Drosophila melanogaster: one gene and its partners. The protein of the gene in region 1 purifies or fractionates together with the protein of each later gene. This does not show direct contact. Each region holds a gene or a part of one and is shown in the gene's direction. Other genes may lie near its edges.

Evidence for each region.
Region 2: the proteins of DCTN2-p50 (region 1) and sw purify together in Drosophila melanogaster (affinity purification with western blotting, with the first as the bait; one study listed by BioGRID). This does not show direct contact.
Region 3: the proteins of DCTN2-p50 (region 1) and Lis-1 purify together in Drosophila melanogaster (affinity purification with western blotting, with the first as the bait; one study listed by BioGRID). This does not show direct contact.

The regions. Positions count from the first base shown.
Region 1 is NT_033778.4:8,888,838-8,894,893, forward strand, and holds DCTN2-p50 (dynactin 2, p50 subunit), read left to right. Parts: upstream 1-2,994; 5' UTR 2,995-3,116; coding exon 3,117-3,152; intron 3,153-3,236; coding exon 3,237-4,158; intron 4,159-4,224; coding exon 4,225-4,409; 3' UTR 4,410-4,502; downstream 4,503-6,056. Other genes in the region: CG8272 (uncharacterized protein), read right to left, coding at 200-958, 1,022-2,281, 2,413-2,463; Sec31 (secretory 31), read left to right, coding at 5,108-5,304, 5,367-6,056. UniProt on the Drosophila melanogaster protein: Modulates cytoplasmic dynein binding to an organelle, and plays a role in prometaphase chromosome alignment and spindle organization during mitosis. May play a role in synapse formation during brain development.
Region 2 is NC_004354.4:20,231,671-20,238,584, reverse strand, and holds the start of sw (short wing), read left to right. Parts: upstream 1-2,386; 5' UTR 2,387-2,502; intron 2,503-2,634; exon of another isoform or gene 2,635-2,781; intron 2,782-2,838; 5' UTR 2,839-2,921; coding exon 2,922-3,076; intron 3,077-3,150; coding exon 3,151-3,297; intron 3,298-3,682; coding exon 3,683-3,810; intron 3,811-4,194; coding exon 4,195-4,257; intron 4,258-5,141; coding exon 5,142-5,162; intron 5,163-6,420; coding exon 6,421-6,468; intron 6,469-6,914. UniProt on the Drosophila melanogaster protein: Acts as one of several non-catalytic accessory components of the cytoplasmic dynein 1 complex that are thought to be involved in linking dynein to cargos and to adapter proteins that regulate dynein function.
Region 3 is NT_033778.4:16,177,003-16,187,135, forward strand, and holds Lis-1 (Lissencephaly-1), read left to right. Parts: upstream 1-1,823; 5' UTR 1,824-1,950; intron 1,951-2,330; exon of another isoform or gene 2,331-2,370; intron 2,371-4,246; exon of another isoform or gene 4,247-4,803; intron 4,804-4,978; 5' UTR 4,979-5,050; coding exon 5,051-5,088; intron 5,089-5,155; coding exon 5,156-5,456; intron 5,457-5,514; coding exon 5,515-5,671; intron 5,672-5,734; coding exon 5,735-5,912; intron 5,913-5,980; coding exon 5,981-6,116; intron 6,117-6,183; coding exon 6,184-6,535; intron 6,536-6,600; coding exon 6,601-6,674; 3' UTR 6,675-8,101; downstream 8,102-10,133. Other genes in the region: CG8441 (uncharacterized protein), read right to left, coding at 8,162-8,749, 8,810-8,983; clu (clueless), read left to right, coding at 9,921-10,133. UniProt on the Drosophila melanogaster protein: Positively regulates the activity of the minus-end directed microtubule motor protein dynein. May enhance dynein-mediated microtubule sliding by targeting dynein to the microtubule plus end.

The DNA.
Region 1 (6,056 bases):
ATACATATATGTCTGCATATATATGTATATGTATGTATATTTGACTAAAGCTTTCACAACTATAGCCCAGCTGCTGGGGGCCGATAGATAAAAATAAATATATGTGGGGGGTTGTTCCGACGGCTGGGGCGATTGACTAGCGGAAGTTGTACAGCTGAAAGTAGTACAACATCAAGACAATGAAGATGGCGGCAAAGTATCAGTAATCGAGTCGCTTTTTCAGGCGGAAAAACTCGGCGTTGTCGATGCTCGTCAGATTGTCCATGTTCAGGTTGCGCAACGTCTTCACGCCGGATAGTCGCTCCTCCAAGTCTGTGTACATACTCCGACATCGATAGATTGACAGCGTTTGCAGGCAGCTGCAGTTGGTGATAATGGCGTCCAGCGTGTGCTCCGTCAGCTGGCTGCAACCGCTGATGTGCAGAGCCTTCAGGCGGGGCAACTTAGACGTTACCACCTGGATGGTCTTGTCCGTAATGTTGTAGCAGTCAGATAGGTCGAGCTCCTCAATCGATGGGCAACTGCTGGCCATCGCCTCCATGCCCAGCAGGGAAATCTGCTGGCAATTCGAGAGCATTAGCCGCCTCAGCTCGATGTGCTTCAGCCCATATTTCAGGGATACATCACTGATCTTATTGCAGCCACGCAAGTTTAGCGATCGCAATCCCCGCAACTGCTGAATGTTGTGACCCTCGAAATCATCCTCTCGTATCAGGTTCATTTCGTAGGCGGCCAGCATGGCTTGCTTTCGCCGGGCATCCCGAACAATCTCATCCTCGGCCTTGCTCCTGAGCGATATCTTAATGGACTGCAGGGAACCCGCCAGGCTGTCTCGTTCCGCCAGCGTGTTCGAGTACGGCGGGTAGAAGTTGTCCATCGACGACACCTGCGAACCCGACTGCTTACGACTCATTTCCAGCTTGGATATGTTTATACCTGTGAGGGCTGCATCGGTTAACTATATTTAAATAAAACCAAATTACAAGGCAGAACTTATATTTATCGCGACTTTCAGTCTTACCCCACTGCAGTGCTCTAAAGAGAGCTCGCGCAGCCATCGCAGCTGGCCGATGACCGACTGGATAGCCTCATCGGTGGCTCCATTGACGCAGTGATTCAAGTGCAGTGATCGCAGACATCGTAGGTTACTGGCAATTGCCTTGATGCATTCCTCGCAGATCTGAAGGTATGAAACGTTCAGCTCCTGTATTACCGGATTCTCCTCGCTAGCGATGCCTTCTATGATGCCGCTGCTTGTCAAGTTATCGCAGTTTGAGATGTCCAGACTTTTGAGACACTTTAGCTTGGCCAAGTGGATGGCACCAGCATTTGTAATGCTCAGGCAGCCGTTCACCTTCAAGTGCTCCAGCTGCGGATTAGTTTGTACCAAGGCGGCCAGATTTTCATCGTTAACACACATTGTGGCCGACAAATCGAGGGCACACAACTGGGGCTGTGTGGCTAGAAAGTTCAGGATTGTGGTGCAGTTAAGCTGTCTGCATCCGGCCAAATAGAGGCGCTGCAGTTGGAGATTGAGGTCGCAAAGGGCCAACAAAGCCTGGCCAATTAGGGTGTGGCTAAAGTTCAACACGCGCAACGTACGTCGCTGCAGGTTCAGAATGGTGAGGATGAACTTGAACGTGAGCACAGACTCGCTGGGCAAAACGTGATCCGAGGAGCTGGTGGCAGGGTAAAATCTGCGATGAATAGCATTGTGAAAGGCTATGTGACAGCCGGACATGTTAATCGCTTCCAGACTGGGCATGAACGATGTGAGACGCATAAGAATGGCATCCGTGAGGTATTGGTTCTCGCACAGCGTCAGCTCCTTGATGCCGGCCAGATTGCTTGCCAGGTCGTTTAGGTCAGGACAGGAGTTGTTGTAAGAGTCCAGGAAAGAGCCGGACATGAACAGCGGCAGACAGCGCTTCAGCGACAGCGAGTGGAGATGGGGCAGCACGCCCAGCATGCCGTAGAACTGTTTGTCATTCAAATCCACATTGTCCAGAGCCAGGGACTGAGCGGTCCTGCCCATGAAGCGCATCAATTCCTTTACTTGTCCCAGTGTCACGTCCTCGAACAGGAAGTGCTGGAAACGCCGCTCGCAGCGCATCAGATCCACTCCAGGACTCAATTGATCCGATAGCACCACCTTGGAGAAGCAGACTCGCGTGCGCTGGTTAAATTCCGCCTGATCCAGCGCCGCATGCCATCGCTGGCAGGTGGATCCTGCCGCTTGTAAGTCCGAGTAGCCGAGATAGCTGAAAATCTTCAAAACAATCTGGGGGCGGAACAGAAAAAAACAAAATCAGCTGACTGCCCTAACAGGTATATGAATATGCAGATATAGATACGCTCGAAATGATGGATTGGTCACGGGACCGCGGCAGTCCGTTCACATTATATGCTCACCTCCAGCGGCAGATCATCGTATCTATGCAACCCGTACTCTAAGCCAGACATTACTCTATTGTTTTCGGATGCAAAATATTAAGATTAGTACAACCAACTAGCAGCTCCCACCGCCCACTCGCTTCGCCCGCAAACTACACGAAAACTACAGTGTTGACTAACTTAGTACCTGTGCTAGGTACAGTAGGACCGTGCCTTTTTTCTATCCTCACTGGTCTATAAAATACCAGAAGAAAAGTGTACCTTCATTGATTTACCAATTGGAAGTCGATCATGGAATTATTTACCTATTGCTTATGAATGATTTTAAATGTATATCGTTTTTCCTAAAATCAAAATAGGTTTAAATTAGCACAAAAAGCTTTAATTTATTTTTATAAATGTTTGCATCTATGAATCCAGTTAACAAAGTACAATGTGCAAGTACAATTTATTTATATCGATGATATATTTTGCAATACTATTTACTCTTAGCTTATTAGCCGTTACAAGTAATAACTGTCTTTTTTAAATGACTTTTTAGATACCTCTGTTTATAAATACTCCAATGACAACTGCACTTTGGCATTTGTTTGGTAACCGCGCACGGTAACTTTTTTTATGACATCAGATCGAATTGATTGTTGTAAAAAAGGATTTTTGAAGGTTTATAATTATTTCGTTGCCAAAGGATTCCAAACACCGCCGTCGACGTGCCCACAATAATGGCCGATCCCAAGTTCCAGAACCTACCGGGAATAGTAAGTCGGAACTCCGCACCATGGCAGTGACGTTTAAGCTTTCGTTTTTGCCCATTTATACATATATGTACTTTATGTTTTTAGGCTTATGACCAGCCGGACGTGTACGAAACTCCAGATGACCCGGAGCTCGATACATCCGACTACTACGAAGAGGAGCCGGAGAACGAAGCCATCGAGCGACTGCACATCTCGCCGAGCGTCGCTCACAAGCGCTTCAGCGGAGCAACGGTCGAGGGGAGTGTGGACTTCACGGATCGCATTGGACGACGCATGTGCCGGGGTTACGATACGCGCGGCTCCAGCGACTACGAGCTGGTTGGCCAGGGCGAGAAGGAGACGCCGGTGCAGAAGTGCCAGCGCCTGCAGATCGAGATGAACGAGCTTCTGAACGAGGTGGCCGCCTTGCAGGTGGACCGCAAGGTAGCCGACGAGGAGAAGCAGTCGTACGATGCGGTGGCCACGGTTATCAGCACGGCCCGAAAGGTGCTGGAGTCGCTGAAGCTGGAGCAAGTGCTGGGCAAGGAGCAGACGCCTGGAAGTAAGCAGGTGAAAGCACTCATTAGCCAGGTGGAGGAGTTCAAGCAGTCCGGCGTTCTCACAGCCATACCCACGCCTGGCACCGATCTGGCGGCCACGGCCCGCGTAGCCAGTCTAGAGCAGCGAATCTCGCAGCTGGAGAAGGTGCTGGGCGCTCAGCCGGACAAGTTGAGCCGCCTTACCGCCGCCACCAACACCACCAATGTACTAGAGGCAGTGCGTCATCTAAGCACCAAGGCGGCCCTGATACAGCCTGATAAACTGGACACCATCGAGCAGCGCCTGACCTCGCTGGCCGGCAAGATGGATGCTATCGCCGAAAAGTCCAGCGGCAGTGCCCAGGACGCCAAACGAGATCAGAAGATTACGGAACTATACGACATCGCGAAGCGCACGGAGCCAGTGGTGGAAATACTGCCGCACGTCATCGAACGCATGCAAGCCCTCGAGGCCCTCCATAAATATGGTAAGCAATTCTATTTAGCATTTTAGCATTGTGCTTGTTTCTGTAACTAATCAACTTGCTCTGCAGCAAACAATTTCGCCAAGATCATCGCAGAGATTGAGCAGAAGCAGGGAACCATCACCACTAGCTTGGTGAACAACAAGGAGCTGCTGCATTCCGTACAGGAGACTTTCGCCCAGAATCTGGAGACTATCAACAGCAAGGTGGCCAAGGTGGAGCAGCGTGTGGCGGCCATATCGTCTGCCAAATGAGTGGATGCATACCATGCGTATTAAATAAACATAGCTTATATTTATGAAAGATACCTATAATAAAGAGATCTACATTCGAGTCCAGTTCCAGTCAAAAAATAAATGCAAAGTGATCTGGAATTTAAAATGAGTTCATAATAAATATTAATATTAAAAGTGCTGAAGCTAGTTTACGAATATAAAATGCGATGGAAAATAAATCTTTAAATAATTTCGACTATCATTTTTAATAATGTATACTGATAAAAACTATTTTTAAAATTGCACATTGAAACGGAATATTTAAATTGCATACCGTTAAACTCGCAGTATATTCTGGTCGCACGCATTTGGTATTTCAGTGCGTGCCCTGTGGTATATTACGTTGGCTCAGAGCACGGTCACACTGGCCGTTCCTACGGTTCTTAAAAATATTAACGATTCCAGTTAAATTCAAGATCAAAAAGTCTCGTTGCAGCGCAAGCGAGTACAAATTGCATTCACAATTGTGTGTAAGTTGCGCAATTAGCATAATTAAAGATACTTAAAGGCCGGCGGGCACTACTGGGCCACATCTGCAATGGGGAAGCCAATGGGAAAAGTGATGACGGGGCTTACTCCAATTGGACGTGACACAATTTCGTTCTGAACTTGTACCTCCCATAATATTTGTGTTTTTTCGCTTTATTTACACGAGCAGCACGAAGGGACATTGCAAGATGAAGATCAAGGAACTGCAAAAGACGGTGAACATCGCCTGGTCGCCGGCGCAGCAGCAGCAGATTCTCTTGGCCGCCGGCACCGCCGCCCAACAATTCGATTCCAATGCCAATTCCACTCTGGAGTTGTACTCACCGAACTTCAGCGATGCCACATACGATCTGGAGCTGAGGGCCAGCGTTTCCAGCCAGTACAAGTGAGTTATGGCTTTCAATTTGTGCATCAAGTCGTTCACATAACCGGCTTTTCCTCCCGCAGGTTCCAAAAACTCATCTGGTCCCCAGTGGGACCACACCCCAGTGGCCTGATTGTGGGCGGCTGCGAGGCGGGGCAGATCAACATATACTCAGCCGACAAGCTGCTTGCAGGCAAGGAGGAGCCGCTTCTGAAGCGCCAGGACAAGCACACAGGCGCCGTTAGCGGGTTGGACTTCAATCCCTTCCAGAACAACCTGCTGGCCTCATGCGCCTCCGAATCGGAAATCCTAATCTGGGACCTCAACAACCCGGAAACAAGCATGAGTCCCGGCACCAAGACACAACCACTGGAGGACGTAAAGAACGTAGCATGGAACAGGCAGGTGCAGCACATTCTAGCCTCCGTGTTCAGCACACGCTGCGTGATTTGGGATCTGCGTAAGAGTCAGCAGATCATCAAGCTCTCCGACTCGCAGTCGCGAGTGAGGTGGCACGCTATTGAGTGGCATCCGGAGGCGGCGACGCAGGTGTGGCTGGCTTCCGAGGACGACCAGGCGCCAGTGGTGCAGCTGTGGGATCTGCGATATGCCACGGCTCCAGCCAAAACATACCAGATTCATGAGCGCGGAGTGCTGGGAATGTCGTGGTGCCTGCAGGACAACGATCTAATGGTTTCGTGTGGCAAAGACAACCGCATCTATTGCTGGAACCCCAATACCAAGATTCCAGAGGGAGAAATCCTATCTGAGGT
Region 2 (6,914 bases), on another chromosome or scaffold:
CGCAAATCAAAAATTTAGCATTATTACTTTTGGTAAAATAAGGTAAGATAATATACATTATATATGTATAATTGAAATAAGAGCACATTTTTATAAACTATCATTTAGAAATATTAAAATATGATGAAATTAACAAGAGCAAGTACTAATGTAATAAATGTATCTTACAAATTGAATGTTGTATATCTATTAGAAACATGGTGATCCATAGGAATCCAATGAAATGCCTGATACAATATAGAATTTCTAGTTTTGCCTGCTTGGGAACTGGTCTACAGGTGATTGGTGGGGGAGGGGAGGGGGGGGGGTTGGTTTGGTGTAGCCATTTCCGAGGAGCTACGCCCATGGGATGGAAAACTGTGTCATCCCGATGCTTCCAGCGGCCAAGCGGCGGAGCATGCCGGTAATATATGTACATAATATATGCATAAATATGCTAAGCGGCCACGCAATGACCCAAAAGCCGCTGTCCTTGGGAGATGCGATCGATCCGCTCCGATCGGAGTAGGAAAGAAATAAAAAATAATGAAAATATAATCAGCTATCGGAGATCGGAGATGCGGCCAAACCAGACGGGCTGGGAAACTAGTTTAGGTTGGCGGCGTGTAGTGGCTAATTAACAATACACTTTTACTCTCGCCCGATCCCATGTGGAAACCAGGTGGAGGTGGTTCTTGGAAGCCCGGCCAGACGTCTAAATCTGAAATTCAATTGGCAAATTAATTTGTAAACTAATCGCGCTGGCATCTCGACTTCGGTGCGACAGGTTTGGCCTGGCAATTAGCGCGGGGAAAAAGCGAAGATATTAAGTATCCGCTCATCGGTTTGCCAACTCCCGCCCATGTGCAAGATTTGTCGGCCTGGAGCAAAAAGTTGAGCAGTCGAAGATTTGGCAATTCAAGGTTTTTACTGCAGCATGGGGGATCATCGGAGCGATTCCAGTTCGAGTCCGGTTTATCAATGCGGTTACGAAACGAGCAACTCGGACTACAGTTTTTGGGTCGTCGAATGCTGGCATTTAAATTCAGATGTGCAGATGTGCAGATGCGCCAAATCGAATCGAAATAAAATCCCCAAAAGTTTCATGGGCGCTTTAACCCCATGAAAACCTCTTCCTTGGCACTTTGGATACGGTATCTTTCAGATACTTTCAGATACTTTCGGATACATTCAGATACGACCGAAGGCACGTACTACTGTTGGATTCGCTTTGCGCCCCGCGTTGCAGCAACATCTGGCATTGGTGGCACAAATTATGGCATACATTGTGGAAAGACACATCGCCTAAGTGCGCTTTCTATTTCCACGGCGGGTTCTGGTGATTTCACTGGCCCAAAGACGCGCATTGAATGTAATTGGCACTTTGGAGGGGCAATTAAAACACGACATATCTACATACATATGTACATACGTATGTATGTACATACTTTCAGAACCCTGAACGTATTTTGTAAGCTCAGTAGTTTTGAGTCACTATGGGAATTTCAGCGGTATTGGTAATTTTTTACAAGAATAGTCTTGCTTACCTTTCTTAATTAATTAATTTTTACATTTTGTAGTACTTCACACTCAGCATTTTAATCAAACAAATGCACAGGTTGTGGGCATTAATTTTAGCTGAATTTTAGACCTAAAAGGATTATTTAATTTTGTATGCATATGGGACATCAGTGTATTATCATTAAGGTACTGTGTATCAATTCGAATTTACCTACAGATACCTCTCTTGAATCTATAAATTAAAAGTTACGCTTCAGAAAGCAACACTGATATTTCATAGTGCATGTGTGTGAGTGTGCAAAACTTTTTTATGATAACTGTAAGCCACCTATAACATAACAATTTTAAAATGCGGCATATCTCTGTATTAACATACTTTTTACCTATTATTAATTATGGTAATATAATTATATATTAATCTAATATATTTATAATTAATATTAATAATTAATAATTAATAATTAATAATATATAATATAATATATATATATATATATATATATATATATTCAGTTTGAAGCTCTATTTAAGCATGATTTGTAGATTTCTTCCATAAATAAATATAAATATTAATAAATATAAAGTGTGTTGCAGTGTATGTGAAATGTAACTGTAACTAACAGCGTTCTGCTAAACGCAGTAGTGCTGCCAGATCGCTGCGCTAGTGCATGGAAAGACTGGAACTATCGCTGTCACGACAGCTGTTCACAGCTATCGCCGTACAGTAGTAAAATCTTATTCTTGTGTTTAAACTTGTGTTAATTAAGAATTCGGAATCCCGCTAAGAATCCTAGTCTTCCACACCCTTTGGGCATCTATGTAAACCAGCCGCGCCCATTATCTCCTTCGTGTGCCAATAACTGTGCGAAGTAACTGGCCGTGGGCGATGTTCCATCTCTAGTTAGTCAAAACATTAAAAGTCAGTCGCATTTTTACATTGTTGAAAAATGATGATTTAAGTACTTAAAAAGCAGCCGAACAACGAGTAAAGACAGTCAAGAGGTGGGTTTTTGTGCATTTCATGGAAAAATCACAAGAGCAGTGAGAGAAGGAAGTTGAAAAACGCAGCCAGGGCGAAAAGACGTCACAGTCCAATCGCTGGATTATTGATTTTTTTTTTTTGGCCGAGCAAAGGAAAGTAAAGTGACGGCCACTCACTGGGTTACCGGGAAATGTGCTCCACTTGGCGATAGGAGAACATATGAGTTGGCTGCGCCACGCCAAGCGAGCGGTGGAGAACCACACAGCGCACCCACTTTCTTTGCTTCTGGCCAGCAGTTGGTGACATCATCAAAGCTACCAATATTGGCGACCATTAATCATGCATCCCCCTTGCAGAGAACTTGGCCCGCCAGAGATCTAGAGTCCCGTACCGAACGCCCACTCGAACAGCAAATCGCAGCAGCTAATCGCCCCGAGAAATGGATCGCAAGGCTGAGCTGGAACGCAAGAAGGCCAAGTTGGCCGCCCTGCGCGAGGAGAAGGATCGCCGGCGTCGCGAGAAGGAGATCAAGGACATGGAGGAGGCGGCCGGTCGCATTGGCGGCGGAGCAGGCATCGACAAGGATCAGCGCAAGTGGGTTTGCCATAAGCTTCTCCTCAGAGCTGACTCAGCACCGCCATCATCCAACTTTCGTTCGCCTCTTTCAGGGATCTCGACGAAATGCTGTCATCGCTGGGCGTGGCCCCCGTCTCCGAGGTCCTTTCCTCACTCTCCTCCGTCAACTCGATGACTTCGGACAACTCGAACACACAGACCCCCGACGCCAGCCTCCAAGCCACTGTCAATGGCCAGAGGTAAGCCAGTTCATAGCAAAAGCTTTGTGAGTAGAATTACCATCTTAAGCAGAAGTTCGCAGGGCATATTAGACATATTCAGGTCATATAGGTATAGACATTTGATTCCCTAAGTTTTTTTTGCTAAACAACTGTAGAGACAGATTCCCCATCTACAAGCTTAACATAAAAAAATATCAGTAGTCAAAATTGGAATCCTGGTTAGAGAGCGTGGCAATTTTTACAATTCAATTTTAGCATTAGCCGTTTTAAAAATTAGTATTACACAGATTAGACAATGGGCTTAGTACTGATTAAGTTTTAACGATCAATGTATTGTACTATTGCTATTGCCATTTAACCGATTCCTAACTAATACCAATTTCTTATGTGCACCCCCCACCAGCGGCGGAAAGAAACAGCCCCTCAACCTAAGCGTCTACAATGTGCAGGCTACGAACATTCCACCAAAAGAGACACTGGTCTACACAAAGCAGACCCAGACGACCAGTACCGGAGGCGGAAACGGCGATGGTGCGTATTGCCCCCGGGGCGGGGATCTGGTTGGGCTCTACCGTAACCACTATCCATAGTTTGACTCCATCTCTCGCTACTGTTACCGTTCTTATTCTTGGTCTCGTTGTTAAATGTGTTTGGCTTCCCTGCTGTTTCCCAGACTCCGTCACCGTCCGCCGGAGGAGCAGTGTATCTATCTGTCCCTCTCACTCTCTCTGTCCATGTCTGTGCTCCAAACTCTCCCTTTCTGTCTGGTGCTAGCTTACACCGCTGCATGCTGACCCTGTTTCCGCGCTTTGTTCCCCATCAAGTGCCCCCAACTCCCGTCCCTCCCAGCAGAGAAAAAAAACAAAGATGCAAACAGAAACCATAATCCATAGTGAAATAAAATAACAAATACAGTTCTTTCTTGCCACTCCTCGCCTCTGTCAGGATATATGGAGGACTGGTGGCGTCCACGTAAAGGTACTAATCTTAATTTTAAGCAAACTCCACACCTAATCACACATCAGCACACGAAAGTTATTGTGACAAAACGAAGCGGCATACACATGTGAATACACGAAGAGCTCCATGTGAAGCGCCCACACGACTTAGTCTAAATTTGCTGTAAGGCTCTGCAGGCAGAAGGATGTCAGCATCGTACATGCGTAGACAATTCGGTGGACTATCTACTTAACTGCTTGAATTTAGACAGCTTCCTTTTGCTTTGCCTCGGCCCAATTTGGTTGCAATGCCCAAGAAACGTAGTTTCTGGTCGATTGATCATCTTATGACAGATTTCTCTTGATTTGGTCAATCCGCATTATTGGTTTTTGGTTCCTTCAGTGCTCTCAATTTAGCCCATCTATCCCAGCAATTGTTTTTGTTAGTTTATTTTATAAATGTTCGAAACTGGAAAAGCTCAGACACGATTTCAAAAACCATTCGTCACTATTTTGTATACTATGCAATATTCAGCACACTATCTGAACACTTCAATCCGAACTTTTAAAAATATAGGTTGTAAATGGTACTGCAACGCAATGTGTCATGTTTATCCCCTCTTTAAACACGCCTTTTTATAATTATTACTTTAATTTTTGTCGCGTTTTTGTAAAGGTTATTGGTAGCACTAAGCATTACACCAATTGGCCTTGTTTCGCTTCATTAACGCCGCAGTCTCGACTCATTTCCGCATGGCCACCGCTGTCCAGCATCAATCTTTCCATCCACATCCATCCATGTCCACATCCGAACCCATAGATCATTAGAGTGTAAACCGTTCGAGCGCATTTAATAATTTGTCTATTTACTTTCTCTTTCTTCCCTCTTAACTGTTTTTGGCACGCACGAAAAAAAAACTGCAGCTCATGCTACGGATTATTATGGTGAGTAGTCCTCGTTGTATGCGTAATTCCGTACTTAGAACTTTTCAGCCTCCGTAGCGGTCTGTGTGCCACTCGTAAGAAGCGTATCTATACCCGTAGTCCTATATATTACCATTACCTTGAAACCTCTCTATGCTGAACTTCTCTATATACTCACATTATGTATTTGTGTAGTTTGCTCAATATCTATCCACAACACGATCTATGCTCCTTAGAGTTTTTCTGACTTGCTTAGTGTACGCTTGATATGGTAATCCTATCCTAGAATATATATATGCCCTATGTCCTAGCTTCTCGTAGTTGCTTCTTCGATCTTTGTTTCCGATTTGGTCCTTTGATTTGCATCCCAATTGGGACTATATACATATATTTATTACATTTTATATGATTTATATGACATTTGTTTCAATTAGCTCGATAACTACCTGAAAAAAGATTCGTATCAGTTCGTATCAGATCTTAGAGACCTTGTGTGAAAATCGTTCATTGAATGGAAAATGAAAAACAAATTTGTAATCTCCACCCAATTTTTAAGTTCTTTATTCGTTTAAGTACTTTTCGTAATCGCTTTAAGTTGAGTTTTAACATAATTTTTTTTTTTGTAATTTTTTGTCTTAATTTATGTATGACCCATTATAAGTATTGAGGGTTCTTCTAAAACATGCATACCAATGGTATAATTTAGATTTTTTGTACTTTTTAGCATAACCGATCTATTACTTAAATATTTGAATTCGATTTATTTTCCCAAGAGTATTTTTAAGTCTATGCTACTGTCTAAGAATCAAATGCATAACCCAAACATACACACGTATAAAAGAATCTTCATTTGTAAGCACGAATAGCCTTTATCTTAATATCGTTTGTATGATTGCGTATCAGATATATTAGCTAAACATCCTAAGTTGTATTATAAACACTTTCTCCTCCCCTCGCTACCTTTTGTGTTCCATCATATGAGCCTGGCTTGTGTGCTAATAGTACTTATACATATACCCTATTTAGTCATATTTTACATATTCGTGTAATAATTTCGCCAAGCAACAAGTGTTGAGCACACTAAAAACCAACATTTTTCACTTCTTACCGTATGCATTTTGTTTAAACATTGACTATCGATTTGTCGATTTAAATGGGCGGTATGCTAAAGCCAAAGTCATGTTTTTTTTTTTTTTTTGCGTTTTGATTTGAAGAATCACAAACTACCAAATACCAGCAATGTTTGTACAATATATTTATTTCTTTATATTTCTTCAAGATGAATACAATCTTAATCCGGGTTTAGAGTGGGAGGATGAATTCACAGGTAGGTACAGGCCAGCCGCCCAAACCAAAATATTGAACAGTGACGGAATCGACATGAAGCAAAATAGGAACGTTCAAATTCTCACTTTGCCAGCGAAACGAAATCAGAATTCAGAGCATCACAAATCACAGAAAAGCCAACGCGTTTAAAATCGGTCCAGTGAGGTGTCAGTGTTGGAAAGCGAATTAAAAAGCGGACACACACGCGCCCTCACAAAACTGAAAATAACGGACCAGTGCCCTTTCTCGCTCTATCTCTCTCCCTCTCTCTCTTAATATCTTTCCGACTCTTTCGCTCCTTCATCTCTGCTTGTGTGCATCCTACATTTGCATGACTGGCGATGCTACTGTATTGCCCGCCCATCATTGTGTGTAGTGTTGCTAATCCCAGTCATTCATCCTGAAACCCGAGATAACAATGTCCTAACCACTAACAAAAACTTATCG
Region 3 (10,133 bases), 7.3 Mb from region 1:
TACAACTTCCAGCGAGCGATTTATGATCATTTCACAAATACCACACGTAAGTGGAAAATGTAAAAAAATAAACGAAATGGTCGAGATACCAAAAAAAAAAAATAAAAAGGGGGTTATCTCAATGTCGTGGCTTACACCCAAAGCCTTTTAATGCGGCGGAAATTCATGAGAATGAAGTTGGAAACTCCAGCAATGTCATGTCGCAATATTCTCTGAATTTTTTGTTGGATTTTTTGGATCCCTAGAATCTTATCAAGCCACTTCACAGGCTGGAGAAGTGGCCAGCAGATATAGATACAGATAGTAATCTGGCTTGTTGGACAACCCAATAATAATCGAACAAAATTAACGACAGATTCGCTAAAATCGCAGAGAATCGCCGACGACGATCCTCGAATTCGAATCGCGGCTCTGTTTGCAATCCCATCACGCAGTCGCAAATGGAATGGGTATAGCAATAGATATATAGATATAGATATATAGACTATATTGCCGATATGCTGAGTGCGTCATCGAAGAGCTTGCTAATCGAAAGAATTCCGTACCCTCAAATTGGCAGCACTAATTACTAATTTCAGTTGTCGCTGCCGGCAACGGAAGCAAGCGAAGAAGACAGCTCTTCTTTGGAGCAAATAAAAAAAATGACACTTTCCGATCATTATTAATGGGTTTGGTTATCAGAAAGTGTGGCAATGGAACGTTGACAATTTGCCAATGTCTGTGCCCGATTGTTTAAACAAATCGCAGCGCGCCGAGGTTTTCCAAAACACCAAGTAAGCCAATAATAACAATTTAACGTTTACAAACGAACAAGCGGCCTTTATCATCGGCATATAATCATCAGAGTTGTCGGTCTGATAACAGCCATACGGTGCTGGCTCATAAATGGCTTTCGATTTCGCCAGTTAAACGCTAATGTGGCCAAGAGGATCGGCTACCGCAGGATTAGCAAGCATTGCTAAACTGAATCATATTTAACATATATCTATAGAGCCATAGAATTGGCTGATATAGCGGCTATATCGATATAATGTAATGCGTACAAAATGGCTGATTAAATCTCAAACACTGATAACACACAACGAGTGCCCAAATTTGGCAAATGATTTACATTATTCGGCAATTTTCCCAATGAGCGATTGAGATTGTGTACGATACGCTGCACTCACAGGTGACAGATGGTTGCTAATTGTTGTTGCTGTTTCGCGAATATTTGGGCGCACCAACTATGAATAACGAATGTGTGTGTGTCGCCCGAAAATCAGTAAACTAATAACCGTTTCCGCTGAGCGATTCTCGAATACTGAGCGCCAAAGGGAGCACTCCATAAATCGGTTGTGTTGTGTTCTGGCGCTGTGTGAGCGGTGATAAGGAAAGTTTACTCCCATCGCGAATGTGTGTGTAAGATAACAACAAAGTCGGTTTACAATTAGCAAACTGCAGTGTTGACTATCGAATTGGGATGTGTTATAAATAAATAGCAATACTTATATGGCATAAATAATTGGAAACCCATTTTGTTCACTCACGGATAGGCGTTGTGGTTCCGCAAAAAAAAAGCTGACGAAGGTCCATTTCCTTATCAGCATTTTAAATAGCGCGCCAATTTTTTAAGCTGTTCACACTGCGCTTGCATGGAAGTAGGGCTTAAGTTATGGCAACTCGTTCTTTACTCAATGGTTTCAGTCCTTAGGTCTTATATAAGATATAAAAAGTATTTAGAAGTTATTATACATATTTTTATTAACATTTTTCTACATTCCTAGTCACATCGATAGCTAATCGCTGTCATCGATAGTCCCGTGATGTTTTTTGAGCTGCTTCCACTGCGGTCACACTAATCGAAGCATTTTCGTCCGCTCGTCACTTTTCTGCGTAATTCTTTTCGTATATTTCGATTAAACATAAATAAATAAGCGTAATTATAAATATATGAAATACTAAATTGTTGTAAGTAACGTTCGCTGCATAATAAGAACAAACACCGAGTCGCCGCGTTGTAAATAGAACACCCAAGCAAAATGGATTTTTCGCAACCAACCCGTGTAATGGGCTATTGGGAGAAATGAAGAAAAAAAAACGTCATATGTACAAAACTGCCAATGGCAAAGTGTTAGTTCGCGCATTATGTACCAAGCATGTCGGTTGGAGTCGGAAAATATAATATACTATATGTGCGCTTGGATATTTGTCCTTTTTCCCCATTATGCATATTGCCTTTGGGACATTTCTTTCTCTTGGCCCCCTCTCTCTATCCAAGATGGCCGTCGTAACAGTATTTTCGTTCAAACTGTTGTTGTTATTGTGTTTGTTATTGAAAAGAGAATGAAAAAACAAGCGAAAGAGTTATGCAAATTATGCACAAAAAAAGTAGTGTGTTGAACAAAAAGACGATCAGTAAATAAGTGGAGAAACGAACTATGATTACATTTTATTTACAACCACCAGAAAGCGATGACACATCGAGTGCGTTGGTGTGCGTGCGCGAGTGTGTGTGTGTGTGCGAGTGACGATGTCTGTGGATTTTCGCGCATGTTTGGAGTCCTCCCCCTCGCCAAAAGTAGAATTGATCGATTTTTAGCCAAGTCGAGTCCCCGAACTGGCCGATTCCTTGCATATATGTACTTCCCGTTCCCCCATAGGCCAACAACACCTATTACTGGGCAAACCAGTTCTGCCAATGCACAAGAAATCTCGTTTTATTTTCTTCGTTGTGCTTGTGTAGTTGTTTTTGTTTTTTTTTTACAGTTTTCCGTTTTGGGCTTTTTTGCTGCGGCATTCTTTTAGATATTCAAGACCCGTTGCGATTTCCCAGAATGTGTGGAAAGCGCTCCTGACACTGCAAATTGTTTCTATTATCTAGTGACGAGCTTTTTGCACGTTTCCAGCAGTGGGTTAAAGAAAGGCAAAGCAAAAAGTCTCGGCACTTAACGGTTAGTCCCTGCATTCGATGCCCGTCGTGGGGTTAAAGCTGGAGTTCAAAGCTTTTTTGGCTATTGTTTTCCTTTTTCCTCTCTCTTTTTGCACTTGAAATTGCAATTGCATTTGCTCGCCGGCGCGTGTGTGAGTGTGTGCTAATCAATGAAACACGCAAATAAACAAGCAAAGGCAAGTGCAAGGTCTGTTTGCCAGAGCGGGAGAGAGAGAATAAGCAAGCGAATTCAAACGAAAGGGGGAGTGAGAGGAAGAGAAAGATCCTTAAAATTCAAGACCTTACTGTGTGTGTGTGTGTGTTCGTTGCAGCCCTGGTCTATGCCCCTTGCCAACTATCTCGCTCTCACGCCCACCCAAAACCATTTAAAATTCAAATATTAAATTAACTTGAGCAAGTGCAACAATGAGAATCCCATATGATTTTTACTGATTTAGTAACATTTCTGGTGTGGCGTGCGACCCAAACGCCCCCTTCCCATTGTTTTCATTCCCCCATATGGCACACACCCACAGCTTTACGGTTACAATGCGCATGGCTTTGTGTTTCGGAATGCCTGGTTGCCACAACACAAACAGTGTTGACTTCGTTCGATGGTTTAAGGGACCCCCCACTATCTTAACCCCACTTTGCTGCCCACGCTCCACTTTTCCATTAATACCCGTGACGCTCGCAACGCTTTTCATCGATTTTCCTGGGATATATTTAGATGCGCAGTTAGAGCGCAGCCAAACATCCACCCACAATATTCAAATGATGAGCGCCAAGTGCTCGAATACAGCTGATAAGCCCTATAGGAGTAGTTCAAGTCGCGTCCAGCCGAATGACTCACGGCTATATTGAGTGGCCGTTTCGAATCGGATTCGGCTGTGAACCCGTTTGGTCAGTTTTTGCTTGTCTTTTTTTTTTGCCATATTTGCTAGTTCAAAAAAATCGTTAAATATCATTTGGCCAAAAATAATTTGGAAACGTCATTTCCTAGACCGTGATGTGTGAGCGTGTCTCTCACAGGTGGGGCCATGAAATTAGTAATGAATTCGAGATATTTAGGTCTTGTTTATGTTTTCATAACACCTATTAATTTAATGATCATATAGCCAATAACTATTTAGCACAAATAAAAGAAACAGCTGAATTAGTTTTTATGCTATCAATTGCACCTCTGGTGCCCGTGTTTGTTCTGCTTCTTCGCTCGCACGCTCTTTCGCAGCCTTATTTACCTATAAGAAGTTGCTTGAACTACCGTTAAGTCTGGCTAATTGGCTTTGCCTTGTCGTGGATTTTCCTTCGCTAGTATATTCGTTGGCAACGCGTCAGTTGTCCATCGTTATCAAGTACGCGAGATATGCGTTAGCTATTTGTTTCCGATTGCTGTTGTTATATTGCGTGCTATACCCATGATTTGGCCACCTTGAGTTGATTAAAAAGGTTTTGCAGTCAAAAAAACATGGGCACTAAACAAACAAATAGCGCACCCATATGATTTCTGCCTAATTCCATGTGAAATCGACCCTTGAACTCACCGATGACGAGTGCAGTTCGATTGCAGGGGTTACCAAATGCTGCTGCTGCTTCGCTTCAAGCATTGCCAAAGTTTCGATTATTATTTTTTTTTTGCCCACTTATTCGAGGCACGGGCAACACAAAAATGTGTGCCAGAAACCAAAGACACGATGATAATGATGATGCTCCGCTTTGGGAGAATGAAACAATATAATGACTAGACGAAAGGTGAGCATAGGAAACAGAAATACTGCTGCCAAAAAAATTCAAGAAAATGTGGGTGACTCGCCTGCCCTCCATGAGAACTCAAACGAAACTTGCTGGCATTTTTGGCATTTAGGTTTTGCGAAACCAATTTCCTGTCCCAGGTACATCAAATCATCATATGATTATACAGTAGAAGTTCGATAGATGAACCAAAAATTATACATAACTCTGTCTAACGAAATGGTTTGCAAGATATGTATATAGGAAATATATCTTGTATCTGACTGTGGTAAGAACTGCTGTACACATATTGAATGTCTACCTTTTCCATTGCAGAATTGCAAGAGTTGAAGGCGGATAACCGAATTGCGAACGAGAGAAGCAAAACAAGCCAAATCGGAAAACAGTATGAAAATGGTGTTGTCGCAGCGGCAGCGCGAGGAGCTGTAAGTCCCAGTCGTCTTATATAACTATTACCCCATGAACTAATCCTTTTAATTGTATCGCCATCAGTAACCAAGCGATTGCCGATTATCTGGGCTCAAATGGCTACGCCGACTCATTGGAGACCTTCCGCAAGGAGGCCGATCTCAGCACAGAAGTGGAAAAGAAATTTGGCGGACTGTTGGAAAAGAAGTGGACGTCCGTGATTCGGCTGCAGAAGAAAGTGATGGAACTAGAGGCTAAGCTCACTGAAGCTGAGAAGGAGGTCATCGAGGGGGCGCCCACAAAGAACAAACGGACGCCTGGCGAGTGGATACCTCGGCCGCCAGAGAAGTTCTCCCTGACCGGTCATCGTGCCAGCATAACGAGGGTAAGTTGAGAAGTTAACAAATTAATAAACATTTTACATTTACATTTTATAATTGCAGGTAATTTTCCACCCCATCTTTGCTCTTATGGTTTCCGCATCCGAAGACGCCACCATTAGGATTTGGGACTTCGAAACTGGCGAGTACGAACGCAGCCTGAAGGGACACACGGACTCTGTGCAGGATGTCGCATTTGATGCCCAGGGCAAGCTTTTGGGTAAGATCTTGCCATAGTTGAATATATAGTAAAACCAATTTAATTTTGCTTTAATTGCAACAGCCTCCTGCAGCGCGGACTTATCCATCAAATTGTGGGATTTCCAGCAGAGCTACGAGTGTATCAAAACTATGCATGGTCACGATCACAATGTCTCGTCGGTGGCCTTTGTGCCGGCCGGAGATTATGTACTCTCTGCATCCCGGGACCGCACTATTAAAATGTGGGAGGTGGCCACAGGGTGAGTTAAAGAAAAAGGACATTTCGTTTAAGGGATAATATGACCAACATGTGACTTCTCATCCTCAGCTACTGTGTGAAAACCTACACAGGCCATCGAGAGTGGGTGCGAATGGTGCGAGTGCACATCGAAGGCAGCATCTTTGCCACATGCTCAAATGATCAGACAATACGTGTTTGGTTGACGAATTCAAAAGACTGCAAGGTGAGCATTGCCATGTGCAGCTTCTGCTGGCAATGAAGAGTCTAACGACGGTTTGATTCTTCTGCAGGTTGAATTACGCGATCATGAGCATACTGTGGAGTGCATTGCCTGGGCGCCGGAAGCCGCAGCCTCTGCGATAAACGAGGCAGCCGGAGCAGACAACAAGAAGGGCCATCACCAGGGCCCGTTCCTGGCCTCCGGCTCTCGCGACAAAACCATTCGCATTTGGGACGTGAGCGTCGGCCTGTGCCTGCTTACCCTGAGTGGCCATGACAATTGGGTGCGTGGCCTGGCATTCCATCCTGGTGGCAAATACTTGGTGTCGGCCAGCGATGACAAGACCATTCGGGTGTGGGACTTGCGCAACAAGCGATGCATGAAGACGCTATACGCGCATCAGCATTTCTGCACCTCCATAGGTGGGTCCACACAAGGCATTGTGTGTATGAACTATATATTTTAATTGTCATCCGTTTTCTTGCAGATTTTCACAAAGCGCATCCGTACGTAATTAGCGGTAGCGTAGATCAAACAGTAAAGGTCTGGGAATGTCGTTAAATTAAGGAAGAATCGGCAAGGGTTCTGCTTACTTCTCAATTTAAACATAAATAAAGCTAATATATTAAATCACATACCCACACAACACGCCCATACACGAGCAGTCTCGGCCACCTCCGCGGAAGTTTATTTTCCAGACGCTTTCTGTGTCAGCGTAAAATGAACATATTGTATTTTAAAACTGAATGAAACTGGCGAAAACGAATTATTTATTTAATTGTACGACCTTCTAACTAAACTAACTACCTACCTACTATACAAAGTACATAAACAAAATGCCCAAAAAATACATACATACGATTATCGTTTAAAGTTAATGCCGCCCTCCTTTATAAACCAGCATTGGCTCGCTAAGCAAACGGGCATCCTAACTTGAATTTGTCGTAGAATTCGATGAGAATGGAACGTATTTACAATGGTAAACTGTATTTCATTCGACGGCTAATACCATGTGTACCATGTGGCGCAGAAATGTTTTTCCATCCACAAATGTACCCGAGCACTCGCACTCACTTGAAAAAAATTCAATGACGTTGATGTGTTTTAGTGTTTGCAAAATGTATGCATAATAATAGCTAAATTCACTGGAAAATTTATATAAGCAAGGAAGTATTTCAACATCTAAGAAAACTTGTACTCACAAAGAGAAGTTTGTTAATGAGAATTACTTGGAGAGGAGTGCAACATGCTTTTTATCATAATTGAGGTAGTTTTAACGATAACAGTTTGCTTCTTTTAACCATATTCACTTTACACAATTCCTGTTTTGTGTTCTTTTTCGCGAAAGGATCTTCAACAAAAACAAATACCTTTCAAAATGCTTACAAATTTAAGTTGGCTTTAAGTTCAAAATATAATTTACTTTTACGGTTTACATAGTAGAAAAATGCTGCAAATTTATTTGTAATTGTTTATTTAAGAGCAACGGCAAAAAATATACCTATATATAAATATACTATAAATAATTATTTGTGCAAAACCGAGAAATCATATAGATGTATCTGAGAAAACAAAAACAAAACGCAGAAAAATCCAACAATTAGAAGAAACGATTTTTCGGATTCAAAGAAATCTAATTATTGAAAACAATAAAAACTTGCTTCTTCAAGAAACCAGAAAAAAATATGTTTATACCCAGAACTAAAAATGGTGGATTTCTGTCAAGGGTATAATTAATGTATTGCCTGCGATGTCAAATTTTGAAAGCATTTATTATACTCAAAAATGCAACATTTGATGCACCTTATAAATGTAAGACAACAAAAAACAAAATGCGCACTAAAGCCACGACAACTCAATGCATAATTCGCAAAACGCTTTCTTCTCAACCAAGCTGCTTTAGAAAGATGGCCTCAGATGAAAACCCCTAGATACTGGCGATGTATAGAAATCGCTTAATATATATATATTACAAAAGTACTATAAATAAAACCGCACTGTGTTTTATTACTCTAAACGGTTTATTGATAGGAATAGAACAGGAGGTACTAAGGCACAGGCTTGTCTTGTTCTTGATCCACATTTTGGGATTCCTTTGTAGCTTCGGTGCTATCTAATTCCACTGCATTTGTGTCCTCTGCGCTTTTCGCTTCTGTATTTGAATTCACTGCCTCTTCATTCGAAGTTTCTTGGGTGTTATTGTCGTCGGATTCCTTGGATGCCACCTGTTGTCCTTCCTCAGGGCTACTTTCTGCCTTTTCTTCTGTGGGCTCTTCCTCGGAATCTGTGTTACTATCCTCTGAGGCTTCCTTAGCCAGTGGCTTCTTGTCCTCTCTCGGCTTTTTCGCCCTCTGTTTTCTCTTCAACCGTTTGGCTCGTTTCTTAGCAGTCTTTTCTTCGGCCGCGCGTCTGTTGTCGTCCAACTTCTGCTGGTAAGCTTCATCTGCTGCTTCGCGGGCACTCTGGTTCTGGATGTTCTTCTGGCGGGCGTACTCCTTGCGTCGCAAGTGGCGGTACACATGGAACTCGCCGGAACCCGCTCCAGCACTGCTTCCCATCACATTCCGCACGAACGTGGGCACCGAGGACATGAAGTCCCGTTCGCGACGCTGCTCCGGTATGACCACGGGCTTATCCTGGCAATAAAAGGTTTATTAATATGAATGTCCACCCAGCTTTCCAATGCAAACACATACCGGATTCTTCATGAGCTTCTCCAGCTTCAGCCTCTGTAGATCTGTCGCGGTTTTGATGAACGGCCGCAGAGGCTTGTCCTTCTCATCGGAATCGCTTTCTCCAGATCCCGCATTCTTTTTCTTTTTCTTTGCCTTCTGTTCGGGCTCTTTTACCAAATTCTTTATAAGCGACATGTTTGTTTGGTTAAAAACAGTATTTTATGTGTGGCTGTATTACAAGTCGTAAAAAATACACACCGAATTAAAAAAAAAACTTAACGGGGACTATGCTTGATCTGTAAAATTGTATGCGTCAAATTAGAGTCGATAAGTTAGCGGCGATGGCGGAACGGTGGAATTTCAGGAAAATTTCAATTTTTGAGATAATTTCATAACAGTAGGTCCAGCTATGAACCAACCCATCCTTAAAACAGGCCCTTTACATTAATTAATTTTTAAAAATTGTTGAATAGAAATTCACCTTCAAATAAAATAAAAAAAACCTACCCATGTTACAAATTTCACTGTTCCTCAACGACGCTAATATGACGCACTTTATAAAAAGGCTTAAAAATTTGTTTTAAATAAAAATAAGTTTGTATTGTGCATAAATTACCTTTTATTAAACAGAACACAATTGTTGTTAAAATAAATGCAATCATATATATTGGTATCGTTTTTGCGTGTGCATCCCTATCACTAGTTGTTGTCCATCTGCAATTATACACAGCAAATAACTAAATACTAATTAAAATACTGCAACCAAGCCAATGCCAGCGGTATATTTAAATGTTCACCCGGTGGTCACACTCTCAGCCGTTAACAACATAACGCGTTATTTTCTAGCGAATCGGCCGATTTATATCCTCGATAAGTAATGTGCTGAAAAGAACAGAACTAGCAAAGACCCACTTGTCATAGATGCGTACGAGATCGTTAACCAAACAACAATCACGTTCGCAATCGACCAGAAAGACACTGAAAATCGAACCGAAATCACCCCGAGCTCGGCGAGCGGTTAGAGTTGTGTAACACGGACGGACGGGCCCAAAAAAAAAAGAAACGTGAACTAGAACTCTGTGTCTCCTCCGCTGGTTTTGTTGAGTTTTTGGCGAGCAGGTGAAACAAAAGCATGGCGCTTGAAACGGAGGCGAAGAATTCAAATGCAACGGCCACGGGCGATGCAACAGCAACAGCAACAAAGGCCAGCGGCAAGGCCAAGGAGAACAACAACACGGCCGGCGGCAAAAAGAACCTGAATCCGAATTCGAATCAGCAGAATTCGAATCAGAACTTGGTCAATGGCAATGGCACGGCTGCCGACGGGCCGGCTGCGAAGAAGAAA